4 linked regions of the Yarrowia lipolytica genome follow. The protein of the gene in region 3 purifies or fractionates together with the protein of the main gene of each other region. This does not show direct contact. Links are inferred from orthologs where the notes say so. Each region holds a gene or a part of one and is shown on either strand. Other genes may lie near its edges.

What was found.
Region 1: the proteins of YALI1_D02087g (region 3) and YALI1_D07981g purify together in Saccharomyces cerevisiae (affinity purification with mass spectrometry, with the first as the bait; 3 studies listed by BioGRID). This does not show direct contact. The link is inferred for Yarrowia lipolytica from reciprocal best matches to the Saccharomyces cerevisiae genes MRPS5 and EHD3.
Region 2: the proteins of YALI1_D02087g (region 3) and YALI1_B08627g purify together in Saccharomyces cerevisiae (affinity purification with mass spectrometry; 3 studies listed by BioGRID, with this or other methods). This does not show direct contact. The link is inferred for Yarrowia lipolytica from reciprocal best matches to the Saccharomyces cerevisiae genes MRPS5 and SWS2.
Region 4: the proteins of YALI1_D02087g (region 3) and YALI1_D10865g purify together in Saccharomyces cerevisiae (affinity purification with mass spectrometry; 6 studies listed by BioGRID, with this or other methods). This does not show direct contact. The link is inferred for Yarrowia lipolytica from reciprocal best matches to the Saccharomyces cerevisiae genes MRPS5 and RSM7.

What each region holds. Positions count from the first base shown.
Region 1 is NC_090773.1:795,456-800,324, forward strand, and holds YALI1_D07981g (mitochondrial 37S ribosomal protein mS47), read right to left. Parts: upstream 2,649-4,869; coding exon 1,227-2,648; downstream 1-1,226. Other genes in the region: YALI1_D07945g (uncharacterized protein), read left to right, coding at 1-1,071; YALI1_D08000g (uncharacterized protein), read left to right, coding at 4,560-4,869.
Region 2 is NC_090771.1:860,456-864,898, reverse strand, and holds YALI1_B08627g (mitochondrial 37S ribosomal protein uS13m), read right to left. Parts: upstream 2,185-4,443; coding exon 2,134-2,184; intron 1,494-2,133; coding exon 1,074-1,493; downstream 1-1,073. Other genes in the region: YALI1_B08616g (uncharacterized protein), read left to right, coding at 3,246-3,737.
Region 3 is NC_090773.1:206,186-210,714, reverse strand, and holds YALI1_D02087g (mitochondrial 37S ribosomal protein uS5m), read right to left. Parts: upstream 1,957-4,529; coding exon 1,018-1,956; downstream 1-1,017. Other genes in the region: YALI1_D02085g (uncharacterized protein), read left to right, coding at 2,199-2,777; YALI1_D02063g (uncharacterized protein), read right to left, coding at 2,979-3,888, 4,305-4,342. UniProt on the Saccharomyces cerevisiae protein: Component of the mitochondrial ribosome (mitoribosome), a dedicated translation machinery responsible for the synthesis of mitochondrial genome-encoded proteins, including at least some of the essential transmembrane subunits of the mitochondrial respiratory chain.
Region 4 is NC_090773.1:1,084,086-1,088,277, forward strand, and holds YALI1_D10865g (mitochondrial 37S ribosomal protein uS7m), read left to right. Parts: upstream 1-2,512; coding exon 2,513-3,517; downstream 3,518-4,192. Other genes in the region: YALI1_D10829g (uncharacterized protein), read left to right, coding at 1-120; YALI1_D10858g (mitochondrial 37S ribosomal protein mS35), read right to left, coding at 620-1,798.

The sequences.
Region 1 (4,869 bases), about 590 kb from region 3:
CCGCTAGTGTTCAAATCTCCGGAGATTTTGCAGCTCTCGTTCGCCTGCGGAGCTCTGGATTTGGCCTGGCATGATCCAGATATGATGAAGACGGTCCAGAAGCACTATCTGGCGGCAATTCGAGCCCTGCGAAACAAAATTGCGTCTCGCGAAGTCAACGGCAGTGAAGACTGGCTGTTTTCAATCGTCCAGCTGCTGACCACGTTTGAAAAGCATTTCGGAAGCCCAACTTCGGCGGTTGTACGTCATCTCAGTGGAGCTCAACGAGTTCTCAGAGAACGCCAGCTCAAACGGGTCTACGATGGAGGCGAAATCTTTGCGCTCAACAAAAACGACCGTGTTCTGATGGAAGCGTTCCTCTACAACTACTCTGTGGCCATTCTCTTTTGCAAGAAAAGCGATCTGGTTTACCTGAGTCCTCCCTCGGTGTTTGACGAGTTCAGACCGTACCTTCAGGTGGCTCTTTACGAGACCCAAGTGTACTGGTCCAACAATCCCATTCTCGGAGCTGGGTTCATTGTGTTTGAAATGTGTGCGAAGATCAGCTGGATCGCCCGCAAGGAAGTACTCACAATCGAGGACTCGCAGAATATCAAGTCGTACATCCGAGCCCTCGAAATATGGTCCGTCCCAGACATTCAAAAGACACACATGACCGATGAGCTCGAGTACCACAGCTTCATGCAGCACATGTACGCCTCCCGGGTGATGCGACAGGCCGTCATTCTGCTAGCCAAGAAACTGCTCAACCCAGACCTCCAGGAAACATCAGAGGAGGTTGTAGGACACGTGACCGCGGCCGTTGAGGAGCTTAAGTCCATCGAGCTCGGCTCCTACGTGTCCTGTATCATTGGCTGGGCCATGGCCATCGCCGGATGTGCCGCCACGGAAAAAACACACCGAGAGCTGTTCAAGTTCCGCGTCGAAAAGTTTGGTGAAAACTCCAGAGCCGCCATCTTCAGACAAGTTATGAAGCTTTATGGGCTGGCCTGGGGCCTGGGAGAGGACCAGAAGGAGCTGGGACTGGACATTATTTATGAGAGAGACGTGCTGGAGAGTATGGCTTTGTAGGATGGCCACCATGTATTGTACTTTAACTAATGTATTTATTCACTATTGTACTGACAATATCTTCAGTCTTGTTCAAATCATATCTTTCTTATATACACGTCATCTATGTCATTACTGCCATAGTGTACAAGCACACCGCCTACGCTCGTACTCGTCTAGTTAACCCAGTCAAGAACCTTGGGCTCGTTAGGATCAGGCTTGGTCTTTCGCTGCATCACCTCCTTGACCTTCTCGCTCACACCAGGCTTACCAGAGTACTTGTTAGTAAAGTGGTTGACAACCTCGGCAGGGGAAGCCTTGTAATCCGACGATCGGGTCTCGCCCTTGATGTACTGCTCAATTTCCACCTCTCGGGGCAAGCCAAAGTTCCAGGGGTACTGCTTGTAGGTATCGTTGATGACCACCTCCATCTCGTCGTTCTTGGAGCCGGGTCGCTTCTGGATAAACGACTTGACAATCTCGGGAGTCACGCCCTCGAAAGAAGAAGGCTCCCACTGGGGCTCTCGGGCAGGCTTGTCAATGAGCTTGGCGGTGACACCTTCAATGAACTCTCGAGAGTGCATAAAGTTCTCGGCGTAATTGCACTCATCGTTGAACACGGACTGAATGTCCTGGTTTCGGCCTCGTCGCAGAGCGGCAAGAGTCACCTTGACAGAGGTAGGGGATCGCTCGCCCAGGAGCTTGATGATCTTCTCACCAGCCTCACCCTCCTGCTTCAGAGCTGCCACAATGTCCTCAATGGCGTCGTACTTGAAGGTTCGGTCGATCAGAGCTCGGAACTCGCCGCCGTACTGGAACTTGAAGTTGGCAGGCACCTCCGAGTAGTCGTTGAGCAGTGCGTTGAGCTGGGAGTACAGCTCGGTGGCGTCTCGGCCCTTGGGGATGTCCAGAGAAGCGATGGCCTTCTCCAGATCGTCTAGTCGAGCGGAGGGGATGTAGTGGGTGGCGAAGCCGGCAGCCACAGCCTCGTAGCCCTTGAGTCGGGACGAGGTCAGAGCCAGGAAGGTTCCAAGCTCTCCGTCGAGTCGGGGCAGGAAAAAGGTGCCGCCAACGTCGCAGAAGAAACCAATTGAGGTCTCGGGCATGGCCGAGAGGGTGGTTTCAGTGGCCACTCGGAAGGGAAGGTGCATGGAGACACCCAGACCTCCACCCATGGTGATGCCATGGTTGAGCGCAATCACGGGCTTGGGGTAGACGGATAGCAGGAAGTCCATGGCGTATTCCGTGCAGAAGAAGTCTCTGGATTGCTCAATGCCCTGGGCGCCTGCAGCGTTCTGCTTGGCAAGAGTAGCCACGTCACCTCCGGCACAGAAAGCCTTGTTGCCGGAGCCCTTGAACAGCACGACATTGGCGGAGTCGGATTTGAGCCACTCCTTGAGGCGGGGGAAGATGGCTCGGCACATGGGGTCGTCCAGAGCGTTGAGTTTCTTGGGCCGGTTGAGGGTGATGGTCCGGGTGGTGCCGTTGTCGCTGAAGAGTACAGGCGACTCCTCGGCAGCCGCCGTGGTCTGTGACATGAATCGGGTGTTGATTTGAGCTCGCAGGGGCATTCTAGTTCGGGCTAGTGTTCGCAACATGTTGGGTGTGCTGGGTTAGCTTAGTCTTTTAAGGTCCCCATGTTGGGTGGTTAGGGTAGGCTGTATTGTGGTGGGGTAATCCAAGGCGGAGATAAACAGGTGAGATGGTTCGTGGGGGGCGCACAGGACATAAGCACAGACAAGAGACAGCGGTCAAACGCACCGAGTCGATTTCGCGTGCTGGTTTGTGGCCCCTGTCTGTGTCTGTCTATGCATCATTGTTCTTAGCACTGGCGTCTAGTGTCTAGTGTCAAGTAGCTAATGTGGCTTGGACCGTCCGTCTGAGTCTGAGTCTGATTGTGTCTACTCACATTGTGATGTGTGTCGCACTGTCGTGTACAAGGTCAAGTAGTGGTGGTTTGGAAACACCCCATTAAGTATCTCTGAGCCACCACCTCCCTCCCACAACTCGGCCGAACGTCGGAGCTCTCTTTGTGTCCCTTCCTGTACAGTGTGTGGGGTAGACAGACACACAGCAATGTCTCCAGGCACGGGGGTATTTGATTGAACCGGTTCGCGCAATGCGGGCAAAAAAGAGCCGACCACAATGCGACACGACACGTTTCCAGAGACTTCAGCACTTTTCTCCATCACAGCTCAATTCCGCCTCAAGATGGAGACGTTTGCAACACCAGGGGTTGTATGATGTACCACTCAATGTGAGCAGAATTGCTTTCAATCTTGCTCGTGGACTTGTATAAAGAAGATCAGAGCTGCTACCAGCTCTTTCCCTCGTTGCTCTTGTCCCTCATCCTCCTCTTTGATACTCACGCTCGGTCTGTGATCGGAGGAACAAATTATTTTACCTTTGAAGTTGATTGTGGAACTGCATCCAAATTTTACCCGTGCCCGAGAGATGGATGTGGGTTCGATTTCGGGTCGACTCAATTTAACGCGATATATTTCATGTGCGAAACAGACGAAAGATACGACGAACAAGTGAAAAGACATGGGAAAGACGTTGAAAAGTAACATCAAATTACTGCAACACATCAAACGACTGAATTTCTCTACCGTTGTTGAGGTCATTTGGCCATACCTCCTCAATCAATGGGCCTAAGAAGACACCAGAAATCTCTGAAAAAGGACCTTACAACTCTGAAATTTGAACTGAAAAGAACACAATTGTACAAGATACAAAATTTCCATCGTTCAGGACTTTAACCTCCTCAACACCCCCATTCAATCGCCCATTACAATCACACCTCGTATCAATCACTGCTCCACTCTTACTATACAAAACCTTGGGAGAGCACAAACCAAGAGCAATTCGACAAACCGAGAGCAATTCGACACTATAAGTACGGTAAACACAGAGTCGTTGCGCTTCCACACGGTCCCTAAAGACCCCAGATGTCTGATAGTGTCTTCAGGTCCGTCCAGCCCAACCTCACAATGTCGTCCAGAACTCGTTCAAATGAGAATATTCCAGACTGGAACCGGGAATGTGCACTTTCAAAGCCAAATTAAACTGACAGTAAGAAGCTCAGCCTGTTCGTGATGGTCCAACTACCTCATCAAGGGACCTCCATGGTGACATTCATTTATAGCCGATTGATTAGTCAGCGAGAGTTTAATACCTTTTATGGTTCTCGGCTCTCTCTCTTTTGTTCCGTGGAAAAGAGGACTTCAAAATAGGCATGCTAGGTCCGTTTTCGACGCAAAAAAAGTACATGAATATGTTCAACAGGCGACAACAATTATATGTACACGTTTAAATCCCCTCTATTCCCCCCACGCAACCCTCAAATCAACATGGTCTACAAAAGCATGAATAGCTCGATACCCCAACTCTAATAATAAATTAAGGTCTGATACTCCTTGAATGTCATGTCATCGATTATTTGCCCTTGTAGATAGACGCGTGATTTACCCAGACTCGACTCGACGCTGGACAAGAACCCGACGAAGATGAGCACCGAGACACAAAACGAGGTGCGTTCGCGCCACGTGACCACCGCCAATGAGCAGCACCCGAAAATCCATTCTGCCGGCCCCGTTTCCGAGGCGGACTTCTTTTGGACCTACCAGGAGGAGCCCCATAGATCTCGACGGATGGAGATCATCAAGGCGCACCCTGAGGTGACCAAGCTGACTGGACACGAGCCCCTGACCAAGTGGGTGGTTCTTGGAGTGGTTTCTCTGCAGTTTACATGTGCCTACCTGCTTCGAAACAGTCCCATTTTGAGCTGGCCGTTTCTGATCACAGCTTACGTGATTG
Region 2 (4,443 bases), on a different chromosome or scaffold from region 3:
AGGGGTTGGAGATGTAGCAGCGGCAATAAACGGAGTGCGAGAAGAAGAAAAAGAGCACCGAAACGGGGACAGCGAATGGACACATCACGTGACCACCCCCAAAACTCTTGTCGTTTTCTCAATTGCTTTCAAACTGACCGTTTCACGTGACCATACTGGCAAGAAGGGGGTAGCTACTTGCTTGCACACTCTCAAGGTTCATGCAGGGAGGTTGACAGTTGACGATGATGTGCATGCAAATGGTGCTTGGTGAAAAGAGAAATGCAAAAGAGTGCGCGGAGTGAAAGATCTGCTTAGTAATAAACCAGACCAGAGACGTGATCACGTGACTTCCCCTATGCTTTTTCCTCATGTCGTGTTCGAACTACCGTGTTTTTTCTTTGGTTTTCGTTGTACTTGGGGACTATGTTTTGATTAGGTTGGATCTGACGAAAAGAACCATCGTGATCTAGAAGACGCGGTTTGGGGATTTTCGGTTTGAAAATTGAACTGAGTAGTCATGTGGGCTTCACAAATGTTTTTTAAAATTTTCCAGACAAATCGGACTCTTCTAGGGCAAGTTGTATGCTGTTGTAATGGCTTAGCCGAAAGCTGCGTTGTCTTGTGGGGTGGGTGGATCAAAGGTCGTTTTAGTCTGACGTTACGACGGAGCTTAATTTTTTCAGAGCCGCACAAAAAAAAAAAAAAAAAAAAAAAAAGCAAAAAACAGCAAAAAAAAAGCAAGGCGATGACAAGAATCGTGGAAAAACACAAACTGTGGTTGGACTAGTAGAGAAAAGCGAGGCAGGTGGTTTCAAAAACACGTCGTATGATTTTTTATTGGTGTTACACCCTTGTTTGTTAGTTGCGACAAACTTATGTTTAATTACTTGACATTTGGAGATTTAGTACTTGAGTCTAGTTAACATTTTAGTTGGGAGTCTACAGTAGTTTACACTTTTGTTGGATTGACATACGACAAACCTGTAACTTGACATCGCCTCGTAGACGACTATCTGACGGTGCCACCAGTGTGGAACTTTGTCGCTTGCGTTCAAACATTTCATTTTTTAACCTCGGTCAGACTATATACATTACCAAAACTTGGATAGGAATCCCATGATGCCCTTGGCCTCGGCTCCAGGGGCAGCCTTGTACTCGTTGGCCAGTGAGCCGAGAGCTTCGGAAACGGAGCCAAAGTGTCGTCGGGGCACTCGGTTGAACCGTCGGGCGTTCTTTCCGTTGGTTCGAGTCTTCTGGCCCTTGACGGGCATACCCATGACGTGTCGTCGACCGACGTACGAGCCGGTCTTTCGCTTTCGCTCAATGTCGGCGTTGATCTTCTTGGCCAGGTCGGACTCGATGGTCACATTGGTTGACAGCTCCTTGACAATTGCCATGATGTCGCCCTGGGTGAGCTCGCCCATTCGCATGCCAGGATACAGGCCAATCTTGGCACATAGCCGCTTGGCCTGGAACGGACCCACGCCGAACACTTGCTGAGACAGTCCGTACTGAGTTAGTATGTCACGAGGCAGGGGAGAATAGAGCAAAACTGAAGAAAGCAGGTGGAATCCGCCACTCGGGAAGGATGGTGGGTGTCGACATGTAAGGTGTAAGATCTGATGCTTTTGGTTGGAAAAATCAGTGTTCATCGGTCTTAACCTGCGCTGAATACCAGATCTTAGATGTAGATAGGCCGTCTATCCACTCTTTTTCGTCCATGTACGTATCCTGGGTACACGTTATTTGTTGGTTGATGGTATCACTCTCTTTTGGGCCAAAAGTCTCGAAAACAAGACTAAACGACAGTTTGAGTCTCGGAACACCTTGTAAACCGTCCTCAATTGTCAATACTGCCGTTTGCACAAGCCCGTGTCACGTACATGTCGGATGTGTGACGTTCATATCATCACACCAGTTCTTCTCTCTCACCTACTTGCGAAAGCTGAAAGTCGGTAAATCACTTGTCGCCGCCGAAACCCCATCATTAGTCACTCTCCCGTCCTTCTCCCATCCGCCTAAGCTCTTATCAGCTCAACATGTCCACATGACAAAATCTCACAGTTTGATCCATCGCGTTCTCGGTCATTTGTGGCTCCATCTTTTCCGAACAAGTCATCACCCGCTCCATGTCACCCGTGAAATACTCACAGAAACCTTCCAGGTGTTCTGGAACCGCTTTCCCATAATATGAACCACCATTTTTGCTGTATGTGTGTTTGGTGATGTGTGTGAAATTTGCGCTTAGTCAGGACCTCCCACAAGAACAAACCCTATCCCAGACTTTTGATATAGTACAGGTTCTGCATCCGCCCTAACCCTACCCTAACCCTGAGATGTAGGAAGTGGGGAGGGAAATACCGCCGTTTGAACGCGGTTTTTGTGTTCATCAGAACGCTCAACACACGTGCTCTCTGGTCACTCTGCCGGGAAGCGGTATTGCGGTTTTTAAAAAACAGCACTCTCATTGGCCAACAACGATAAGGTTGCACATATCGAAATAAGGTTTTATGCTAACTCCGTGATGACTAAGCTCGTTAGCGCCACGGGGGCGGATAATGCCTGGTCCCTAGTCTAGTGATATCGACCTGCGACCGAGTTATCAAACATTCTGAAGGCTCTTTGTGTGCCGGTTTTGTGACTCCGTTTAATTTTCGTTAAAGTTCGCTCACGTGACTCGCCACTGCAGCAACCCTACATATTCGATCCCGCACACATGTACTATCCGCCATACACAACCATGAAGAAGGAGGACTATTTGCCCAGTGAGTATTGATGGAGAGCCGGGTTAGGGAATTGAGGCGAGGGGAGGGTGTTTGAGGGGTTAGGGTGACAAGCGATTTGGAACGACAACTGAGACGACAGCTGAAACGACAGCTGAGATGAGTCCTGAGATACCCATGTTTGCGCCGATTGGTGGGTGAAAGTGATGGAGTGGAGCGGTTGGTTGGACTTGTCTATGACGTGTTGGTTCCAAATTTTGAGTGGTCAATTTAGTTGTTTTCAAGGATATTCTCTGAGGCAGTGGAGGCGGCGTGGCGGAGGTTCATATAGTATTCGGTGTTGATTCAATCAGTGTTGACTTTACATTGGTGCTGGTTGAATCGGCGCTGCCTACAGTGGTCCTCTACAAACCATGGCCAAAGACGCAACTGAGACCGTCGATACGTTACTGCACTTTCTACATCTCATTGATACCAGTTTTTAGAACTCCTTACCTGCTTGCTCTACTCCGTTGGATCTACCTCCAACAACCCTGTCACATGACACCTACCCCCAACTCCCCGGACTGCAGCCACTTCCGTTCTAACACAGACCTCGTCGATATCGAGTCTCCGCTCTCGGACGAAGAGCTCTACGTTCTTTCTCAACAGTACAACAACGAGGGCGACTTTGTCTCGGTGCAGACCCGCTTCAACTATGCCTGGGGTCTGATCAAGTCTCGAAAGGTCGAGGACCAGCAGCTGGGAGTGCAGATCCTGGCCCAGGTGTACAAGGACACGCCCTCTCGACGTCGAGAGTGCCTCTACTACCTTGCCATCGGCTCCTACAAGCTTGGCGAATACACAGATGCTCGGAAATACTGCGACCTGTTGCTGCAGATCGAGCCCGATGACCCCCAGAGCGCCAAGCTGCGTCAGATCATCGAGGACAAGCTGGCCAAGGAGGGCATGATTGGAATTGCTATTGTGGGAGGAGTCATTGCGGTGGGAGCTGCTGTTCTGGGCGCCGTGTTGAGCCAGAAAAAACGGTGAGATGGACCGTGAGTGTGACAAATCATTTTTTTCACAGAAAGTGGGTCACATGTTACGCTCACGTAAAGCACTGATGATCACAATGCTCCGTGCTAAAATATGTACAGAACGCTACAGCCCACTCACGTGATGGTAATATATGAGTTATAGATAGACCAGCTACTTGTAGCCATCGTTGAGTGGAAGGGACTTGAAGAGGTGAACGTGCAAGTCTACGAGGCAGTGCCGGAGCAATGGAAAGCACGCACGCAACATTCGGCTCCAGTAGGTCGATGTAGAGATGACACTGAGGTCATGGAATGAAACATTGTCTTCGAGAGAAGAAAAAGCGGAAGTCAGACACTTGGAGTCTCCGTTCAGGTTGACGATATGGAATCCTAGGCTGTGGTGGAGGCATCTGATGATGACCAGACTGTCGTTCATCGCCCCTGATCCAGAAGAACCAAATCCCCAGACAGTCAACCATCAAATGGCGGATGTTGAGGTATCTTGGTCCGAGTCATGACTGAAGCTAGCTATTATCTGAGCCAGGAACTTTTCAACAGCTGGATCAGTATAGAATACCAGTAGATGGCGATGAGAGTGATGCCGTATGATAGAAGGGTGACAGTCGCCGGCACTAACTAGGAAAGACTTCAGGATCCGAGAATATGTATAGATGAGCAGTACTCAGGTTGAACTTTGGTCTTGTTGAATCCAACGACAA
Region 3 (4,529 bases):
TCGTAGCCTTCGGAATCTACCATTTACATCAACAGTCAAAAAAAAATTACTTGCTTCTGAGGGCAAAATGGACGAGACCGGGTTCGAACCGGTGACCTCAAGCATGCAAAGCCCACGCGCTACCACTGTGCTACACGCCCAACGAGTGTAGAGCAAGGTGTGGTGAATACATCTAAGCTCGAGAATGGTGTTTCGAAGGGGCGAAAACGGGGAAATTAAGCAGAATTTCGTCCATATTAAAGAATATTCCTATTTCATGGATTCATTAGTATCTCGTGTATAGATTTTCCGTCTCGAAATAGTAGCATTTGGTGGTTCTACTGTGGCTACTTGTAGTGATGCAGCAGGTGTCTGAGAGAACTAATCAAAAAATGTAGGGATTCGATGTACCTAAGTTGATCATTTCCTTATACCTTTTTATCAGAGTCATACTCAGCTGTTTTTTCTGATTATACTGCCTTTTAGACCTGGTTATTGCGTACCTCATGACCTCTAGAACTTGCTAAGGTAGATTATTGTAGTCATGTTTGAAATAGTTCAGTTCATAACTTCTATTAAGCTGCTAGAAAGTGCGGGACTTCAAAATGGCATTTTATTCATATCGGTACAACTTAGTCTCATGTCTCGTCGGCTCTTGATAAAAATTCGCCAAGTAATACCGCTACTTGTAGTACCGTGTGTGCAGGCACACTGTGGTGTACCAGTAGCAGCGATAGCAAAACGCGGGTTAGAGGACATACTGTACAAGTATATACCAGTACAAGTAGAAGCAGACGTTGTTGTATATCACCTTTGTCTGGAAAACAGATCTTTGAGTGGCTTTGGATCAAGAAGGTATCTTGACTGACTACTCCGCCATTAAGTACACAGTATTTACTTGTACTTGTACTGCTCTTTTGCTCAGTCACGTTTTCACGTAAGAGAGTTGAAGTTTGCTTAAACACTCTCGCTCTACAATCTGACTACGGTCCACTCCTTCTTTTTAATCGAGGGCACTTCATAGGCTATATACAAGTTTTAATCCGACTTGGCGAAGTAGGTCTCGTTCAGGTTAACGAGCTTCTTGCCTCGGATCTGTGCAATGGAGTCGGGGATGACCTGCTCCTGGGTGAGCGCCTCAAAGGCGGCCTTGGCCACGTTCAGGGGATTTCGCGAGCCGTAGACGTTACAGGTCATATCAGTGATACCCACCATGCTGCACATCTGCGACACAATGGGGTTGACTCGCAGACCGTGACCAGCAGGAGCAGACCGCATGGTCAGATGCACGGCGTGGAATTTCTTGTACACCTCGCCGTAGATAGTTCGGTTCTGGTATCGGGGCACCATTTTCATAGATCGAGTTGCCTTCCACATGGCCTTTTCGAGAGCCACAGGGAAAGACAGAGGATCTTTACCCTCGCCCAATCCAAGCATTCCCTTGCCGTCTCCAGTTGCCACAAGCACGCAGAACTGCATCTTCTTTCCCTTTCCGGTCTGACTCTTGACAATTCTGTTTAGCAGGAGTCTGGTGTTTCGAGTCATTCTGTCGTGAAACTGGGGCTCGATGTTCTCGGTGAACTTTGTGTCCACAATAGAATCGGTCTCGTCACCGGTCTCTAGCGAGCCCAGAGGGTATGCCGAGCTGGTTCCCAGCACGTGCTCGGTGGGCACTGGCTGTCGTGGCTGCGAAAAGTTGGTCCACTTGTTAGTAGCGTGATCGTAGAAGGGATCGTGCTCGGTGAAGTCGTCAAAGTAGCCGGGCGACATTCGCGACAGGGGCGACTTGGCGGCCCACTCTTCAGGCTTGATGGCAGCCTCGGCCTTGAGAATCGACTCGACCGTCTCGGCGTCGTAGTACTGCGACAGGAAGTTGAGGTGCTTGAGCCGCTCTTCATGGGCGAGTGCCGCGGTGTTGGCGTAGCCTCGGGTCGCCATACAACCCACACGGGTCTGTTTCACCAGTTGTCGGAGCATTTTCGACTGTAGTTGTGTGAGCTGGTTTGTGATCTGGTTTGTGCAAAATCACACAAATGCGAGGTAATTTTCACCCGCTGGTTCGACTCCGCCCAAAGTTGAATTAAAGGCTACATTCTGAATGGTTGTCAGTTCAACTTCCACCAAAGTCAACTCAATATCAATTAAAAACTTTAATCAAAAATTTGTGCATATCGCATATTCAATTTCGAAATCACCCACACACCCACACACCAACCATCATGATCGCCGACCTGCCCGAGGAAAACACGACCCTGTGGTCTATCAAGCTCCCCAAGGGCGTCGAAATGGCCGACCTCGCATCACAGCCGCTGGAAATCGACGGTGAGGTCACCCTCGGAAAAAAGACATACATTCTGCAGACCATGGAGGGAGGACACAATGTGTTTGTCTTCGGCAAGAAGACCGACGCGGACTACCTTGGAGCCACCCAACAGACCGTTTCCGAGCAGCTGCAGCTCGTCGAGAAGGTGTCTCTGCCTCCTGTCGACCTCGAACAGGTCTGTGTGCCCAAACCCATTGTTGGTAAGGTGGACGGTCTGCATCAGAGATGGTTCCCTACTGGCTACGGACCCGAGGACTACGGACTGGATTCTGCCATGCCTGTTTCGTCTGCTAGCCAGACCAAGAAGACTGCATCTAAATCTACAAGTACCAAAAAGCGATCCCAGGAGGATGTGACGACCGAGGAGCCTTCTGCAAAGAAGCAGAAGAAGGAAAAGAAGGACAAGAAGGACAAGAAGGACAAGAAGGAGAAAAAGGAAAAGAAAGACAAGAAGGAAAAGAAGTCCAAGGAGTAAGCAAAAGGAATAGGAAGGATCTAGAATCCACGGGCATGGAGATTGTAATTCACATAGTATCAATAGAGCATTATTTAAAATCTGAATCGGAAGATCGCGGGATGCCGAGAAAGGTCACGACTACATCACAGAAACTCAGTGCCTCTGAGGCGGGTTTGTCGTCTTCGTTCACGACTACACTCACCTGTTAACTGCTGTTGCTCACGACAACAAACACCTCCAACCTCCAGAACCTCCTCCCCCGCTCTTATTTTCCTTGTTGATTTCGAAAACATGCTCAACTAACGGATGCTCCTCCTTCTCGTCAGTGTCCTTTGTATGGAGAGTCTTCTCAAAGTACCGCAGCTGTCCGTCTTTACCCACCATGATGATGGTTTGTGTCCGAGTGCCATAGTGTTTTCCAAAAGGGTGCGTCACGTTCCAGTCCTGGCCTTCCTGGTACCCCGCAGCAGCAATGACGGGAATGAACACTGACTGGCGCAGGGCATGGTGGATCTCTTGCTCGGAGGCGCCCTTTTTGGCGCCGGGATCAAACGTGTCGTGTGAAAGAACGTCAAATAACGAGTCCACAAGTTCCTTGCGACTGCTTCCAGACTCCACGCTCTCCTTTACTACCTCATCCAGCCGCTCAATTCCCAGAGCGCACTTGGGCCAAGGATTGCAGAACAGCGAGTTGGAGATTCCAATGGTTTGGTCCTCTGGATCCCTTGCCACCCACTCATGATCGCCACCACGGTTCGAAATGATGGAGAACTGTGTCTTCCCGTTCAAATCCACCTGGCCAAAGAGGAAGGAGAAGCCACCAGCGGCCTGGAGCTTGTCCTCGGGGTATCGTCTCTTGAAGTTCTTGGTGAACTCCTCGGGCGACTCATTGGAGAGGAGGAACTCCTTGGGGAACTTTCCGCGGCTGATGTCGCCAATGGCATCCTTGTCGCGTTTCTCCTGGTAGTTGAGAATCACAGCGATCTTGCCTTGTTTGTTGCATCCGATCCAGGTGCCTTGCTCTTCCCGGGCGAGATCTAGGGGTCCAAGGACGTTGTCGTCCCAGAAGAAGGCTTCTGCGGTGGGGCGGGATAGATACTCGTCGCGGTTGGATAGGAGGATGAGGGGACTGTGTTAGCCGGAACGACGATAACAGTGGAACTGCTCGTAGTATGTCAGACAAGCTAGTATGTCAGACAATGATACCAAAGCACAGCTGCAACAGTGTTCGAGAGTCGCATATAACCAGAACACGTTTCAGGAGGACTCGACAATATACACACGCAGCAGATTAGTCTAGCCGTATCATAACCAGGTTGTGGTCACAATGTGACTTTGGCAGTGCCACAACATCCACTGGTGGGGAAAAAAAAAAAAAAAAAAAAAAAAACATTACAACAAAACAGCAACATTCCGATCAGTGTGGTGGTACCTGACCTGTAACGTATGAGCGTGGTGTGGTCGCTGTTAGTGTCACTCCAAAGCCTGAGTCTGTGTCTGTGTCTGTAACCCTTCTCCTGCTGTGTGTCTCATTCAGATACTCACTAATCAGGATGTCCTTGAGTGGCCAATAAAATACACATTGTCGTTGTGTGTGTTTGTGTGTGGTAACTGTTATTTGTGTCTGTGTGGTTTTCGTGTGGATCTGTGGACTTTTGTGTACTTGTGCGTGATGAGTCAGTGTGTACTTGTGTGTCTGTGTGAAGCCGAGCACATCAGTTTATATTGGTCCCTTAATTACAGACCCCACATTATCGGAAGTTTATTTAG
Region 4 (4,192 bases), about 880 kb from region 3:
GAGAAGGAAACAACAAAGAAGGAACCAACAGACAAGGAGCCAACCGAGCCAACGGCACAAAATGGAACCACAACCGAAACCGAAGAAGATAGAGAGGCAAAACGACTAAAGACGGAGTAAAGGGTTGCACTTAGCGACACTCATTAGCACAGCATGGATTATTTATCATAACAGGTACCAGGTGGCAAGTGGCTGGAGGTCACGGGCATCGACGGAATTGGGTGGTAATTGTAGCAGGGAGATCAGGTCAGTGTAGGTGAGTAGTGGTTGTAGCTCGACATCCCATACACCTTTCTCCATGACGTTGAAGTATGGCTCTCGACAGTACTTGTATATCATAGAGAGTGTGGGGGCCATGTCTCACCCATATGTAGCATGCTTGATAGGGGAACTGTACAAGTACATATCCAGACTTGTCTTCATACACGAAGATGGGAATTCATACCGTGATTGCTGCGTTGCGAAGCCATGTACAAACATTCGTACTGGTACCAGTTTTGGACAAATCTGGCTTCCTATCTAGCACAGTACGATACAACACCTAGGTGCCTTCGTCTGGCCTAAAGATATAATGGGCTACACACGCTTGCGTTTGCTTGTTACTCATTTACTATATACATTACCCGAAAAGAGCCTTGAAAGCGGTCTGCTTAGCCTTGTCTTCAGGTCGGTTCCACTCCTCGGGGAACTTGGCCAGTCGGTATCGGTCTCGCTTGGCGATGCGCTCCGCCTTGTTTCGGGCGTGTCGGGTGTCCAGAGGCACGTCCTCGAACGAGTCACCTTGCTCGGCCTCGGTCTTGAGCTTGAGAATCTGAGTCAGCAGGTAGTGCTTGTTTTCGGGGGCAGAGGGGTGTCGCTTGCTGGCAAACTTGCACTGGCCGGTCAGAGCGTCGTAGTTCTGTCCAGACAGCAGCTTGAACTTGTGCAGGCCCTTGTCGGAGAGACCCAGGTTGGCAGGGTCAAAGTAGCAGACCACCTTGGCCTCTTCGTCGGCCTCCTCTCCGGTGTACGAGGTGTACTTGAAGGTCAGGGGAGAAGCCTTCTTGTCAGCCTCCTTGACATCAAAGGGCACATGATAATCGACGAGTCGGGGGAGCACGTAGGCAGACATTCGCTGGAGGTGTCGCATCTTTCGCACCTTCTCCACCTGCATGTGTCCAGCAGTGGGGATATCGTCGTACATGAACTCGTTAACGTGATCAGCATCCAAAAGATCGTCGTCCTCCTCATTCTTCTCAACGACGCTATGCTTGCCGTGGTAGGCGGATCGGATTACGCCAGCGTCGGCTCCAGCAACTCGACCAGCTCGAACCAGCTGTCGCAGTTCCTCCTCGCTCTGGGAGTAGGCCGATCCGAGCTTGAACTGTCGGTTGTGAAGACGCGTGACCACCTCATGGAACTCGAGGCCGGTCCAGTTTCTGGGGTCTAGTTCCTCGTCGCTGAATCGCTCGGGATCCAGGTTCTGCCGGGTCTTGAAGCCCAGCTCCTCAATGGTATCCAGAGCCTCCTTCGTCTTGGCGTCGAGCGTGTACTTGGCCTCAAACTGGAGCTCCTCGACTCGGTTGGTCCGGGGAAGCAGAGAGGCGTCTGCAGAGGGGATCTCGGAGGGCTCAGCAAACGGAGTGGCTGACTCAATGCGCTTGTCGGTTCGGAACGAGGGCTTGGACTGATCCGAGGGAGGAACGTCGGTCGAATCGGACATGAAACGAACATGGGTCACGGCGGAGGCCCGGCCTACAACCGTGGCTCGTGCAAACGCTCCCTGGAGCACCCTGCTTTGGTTTGCCAGTCTGAGCATGTTGTGTGATGATTATGAAAATGTTCAGTGGTGAGAAGTTAAAAAATGCAGTGAAAATGGAGGAGAAGCGGGAGGGTTTCCAGAAATGGCTGTAAGAAGGCTAGAAAGATGAAGAAAAGAGGAATCAATAGCCCATGGTTGGAAAAGTAAATCTAAGGTGTTTTATTCGCAAAAAATGACACCATATAAAGATCTTGTGTCAACTAGGAAAAACCCTACCCTGATAACTAAGCAAAACCTTCTTCATACTATAGAGCTGGACGACAATGGGAATTTGAGGAGGTTGAAGAAGAGATAGATGGGTGAAATTTAGTCGAAATATTTTCGCTGTGGCAATATATATTCTGTCAATTTTTCAAGGCTGCAGTCCTCAAACTCCCCATTTTACTGATACCCATATTCTCTCTCCGAAAAGCTAAAAAAAGTCGAGTGACCGAAATTTCACCTCAAATTTCACACACTTTGAGGCTGCAAGGATTGTATTTGGAGATATAAAGAGGTATGTGATAAATGATGGAATGGGAGCATAAATGACAAAATGAAAAAAGTAAATATATACAAAAAGACAAGCTACTTCACCTACAGCCTTTATTTCTGCGAATTTACCGCTCCTTGGCCCCCGCTCCAACCCCCCCAGGTTCCACCGGTACCACCTCTCCTACACCCAACTCAAACTAACTTTTCACTCTCACATCACCATCTACACACACCACCATGCTGAGAACGACTTCAGGACTAGCTCGGTTCTCCGCCCGTCGCGGATACGCCTCGGCGTCGCCCGCCAAGATCCTGGTGGGTCTGAACGTGCGAGCAGACCGATTTGACGGCGACCAGAAGGCCCTTGCCCAGGAGCTGGCCGTCAACTCCGATCTGGGTGAGGAGGACACAGACGCTATTGCTGCCAAGTACACGGAGCGAATCAAGGCCAACGCCGTAAAGCCCATTGCTCCCGAGACCGCCGAGGGCCATGCTCGACAGTGGATTGCTCTGTTGGACGACATCAAGGCCAAGAGCATGTCGACCGAAAAGTTTGAGGGTAAGGACGCTCTGGACATGCAAAAGTTCCGAGAGACGCTGGACAAGTACCGACAGGAGAGCACTGTTTCCGGCTTCTTCAGCGACGTTTCCGCCAACAAGGTCGACCCCATGGCGCTCATCGACCCCACTTCTGAGTCGCAGTTTGAGCAGGTCATCACCGGCAAGAACGGTAAGAAGGCTCTGTTTGTGCCCACCGAGGAGCAGGTGGCCGAGGCTGAGGCTCTCAAGACTGCGCCCATCCCCAACAAGGTCGACGGCGAGTTCGAGGCCCATCTGATCAATATGATCATGAAGCATGGCCGAAAGAACGCTGCCCGACGGCACTTTTACCAGGCTATGGAGCTCGCTCAGGTCATGATCAAGGCCGACCCCATTCCTCTGCTCAAGCAGGTCTTTGATGACGTTGCCCCCGTCTGTGTCATCAAGTCGACCCCCGTTGGTGCTCGAAAGGTCCAGTACCCCGTTCCCATCACCGAGCGACAGCGACGACGAATAGTGTGGAAGTGGTCCGTCGACAACGCCGAGAAGCGGCCCAACCGATCATTCTCGGTCCGACTCGGAGAGGAGATAGCATCCGTCATTAAGTCCAAGGGAGCGTCGCTCATGGAGAAGACCCTGGTCATCCACAACCTCGCCGTGGCCAACCGAGTCCATGCTGACCCCAGCCGACCCCGAAAGTAGAGTATTGTATATAGTTAAGGAGAGAACAGATCCCGATATCGAGGAGCTTACTCCGAGAGAATGGGCGTAAGAATGAAACACGAGATCCGTGCATGAGAGCTTGAACAGTATAATAGTATGGTTTATACGCTGCTCAAGATCACTACGACTCAATCTCACTGTAGATACTCAAACAGTGGTTAGATAGATCTCATTGCTTTACTGCTTTGAAGTCGCAACCAGTGGTATGTTTCTAGAGCTTCACTCTGAAAGACGTCTCCTCTGTAGACTAGATGGGGTCTACTGTAGCTTGAAGGAAGAGAGTCTCTAAAGATGTTGTAATTACGAAGTCCAAGAGTGTTTATTTTCCCTTAATGTTTGTCGCTTTTCCCTACAAGTAGCATATATGTACTTGTACTTTTCGTACCGGTACCAATCTGTACTTGTATTCGTTCAGTGATCGACCCTCTTTACCCTCCATAAATTTACATGGCTTTACTTGAGAATTATTCGCATTACTTGGCCCATCCACTACAGCAATCAAATACACACCCCTCTAACACATCACAGTAGAAGTAAGAAACACCATTCACACAGTCTCAGACTTACTCGTAATAAAAATACAGCTATTCATTCTTTATAAATTAGTAGCATCACTCACAGCTAAGACAACACTCCTTCTCCCTGAAAAATCGT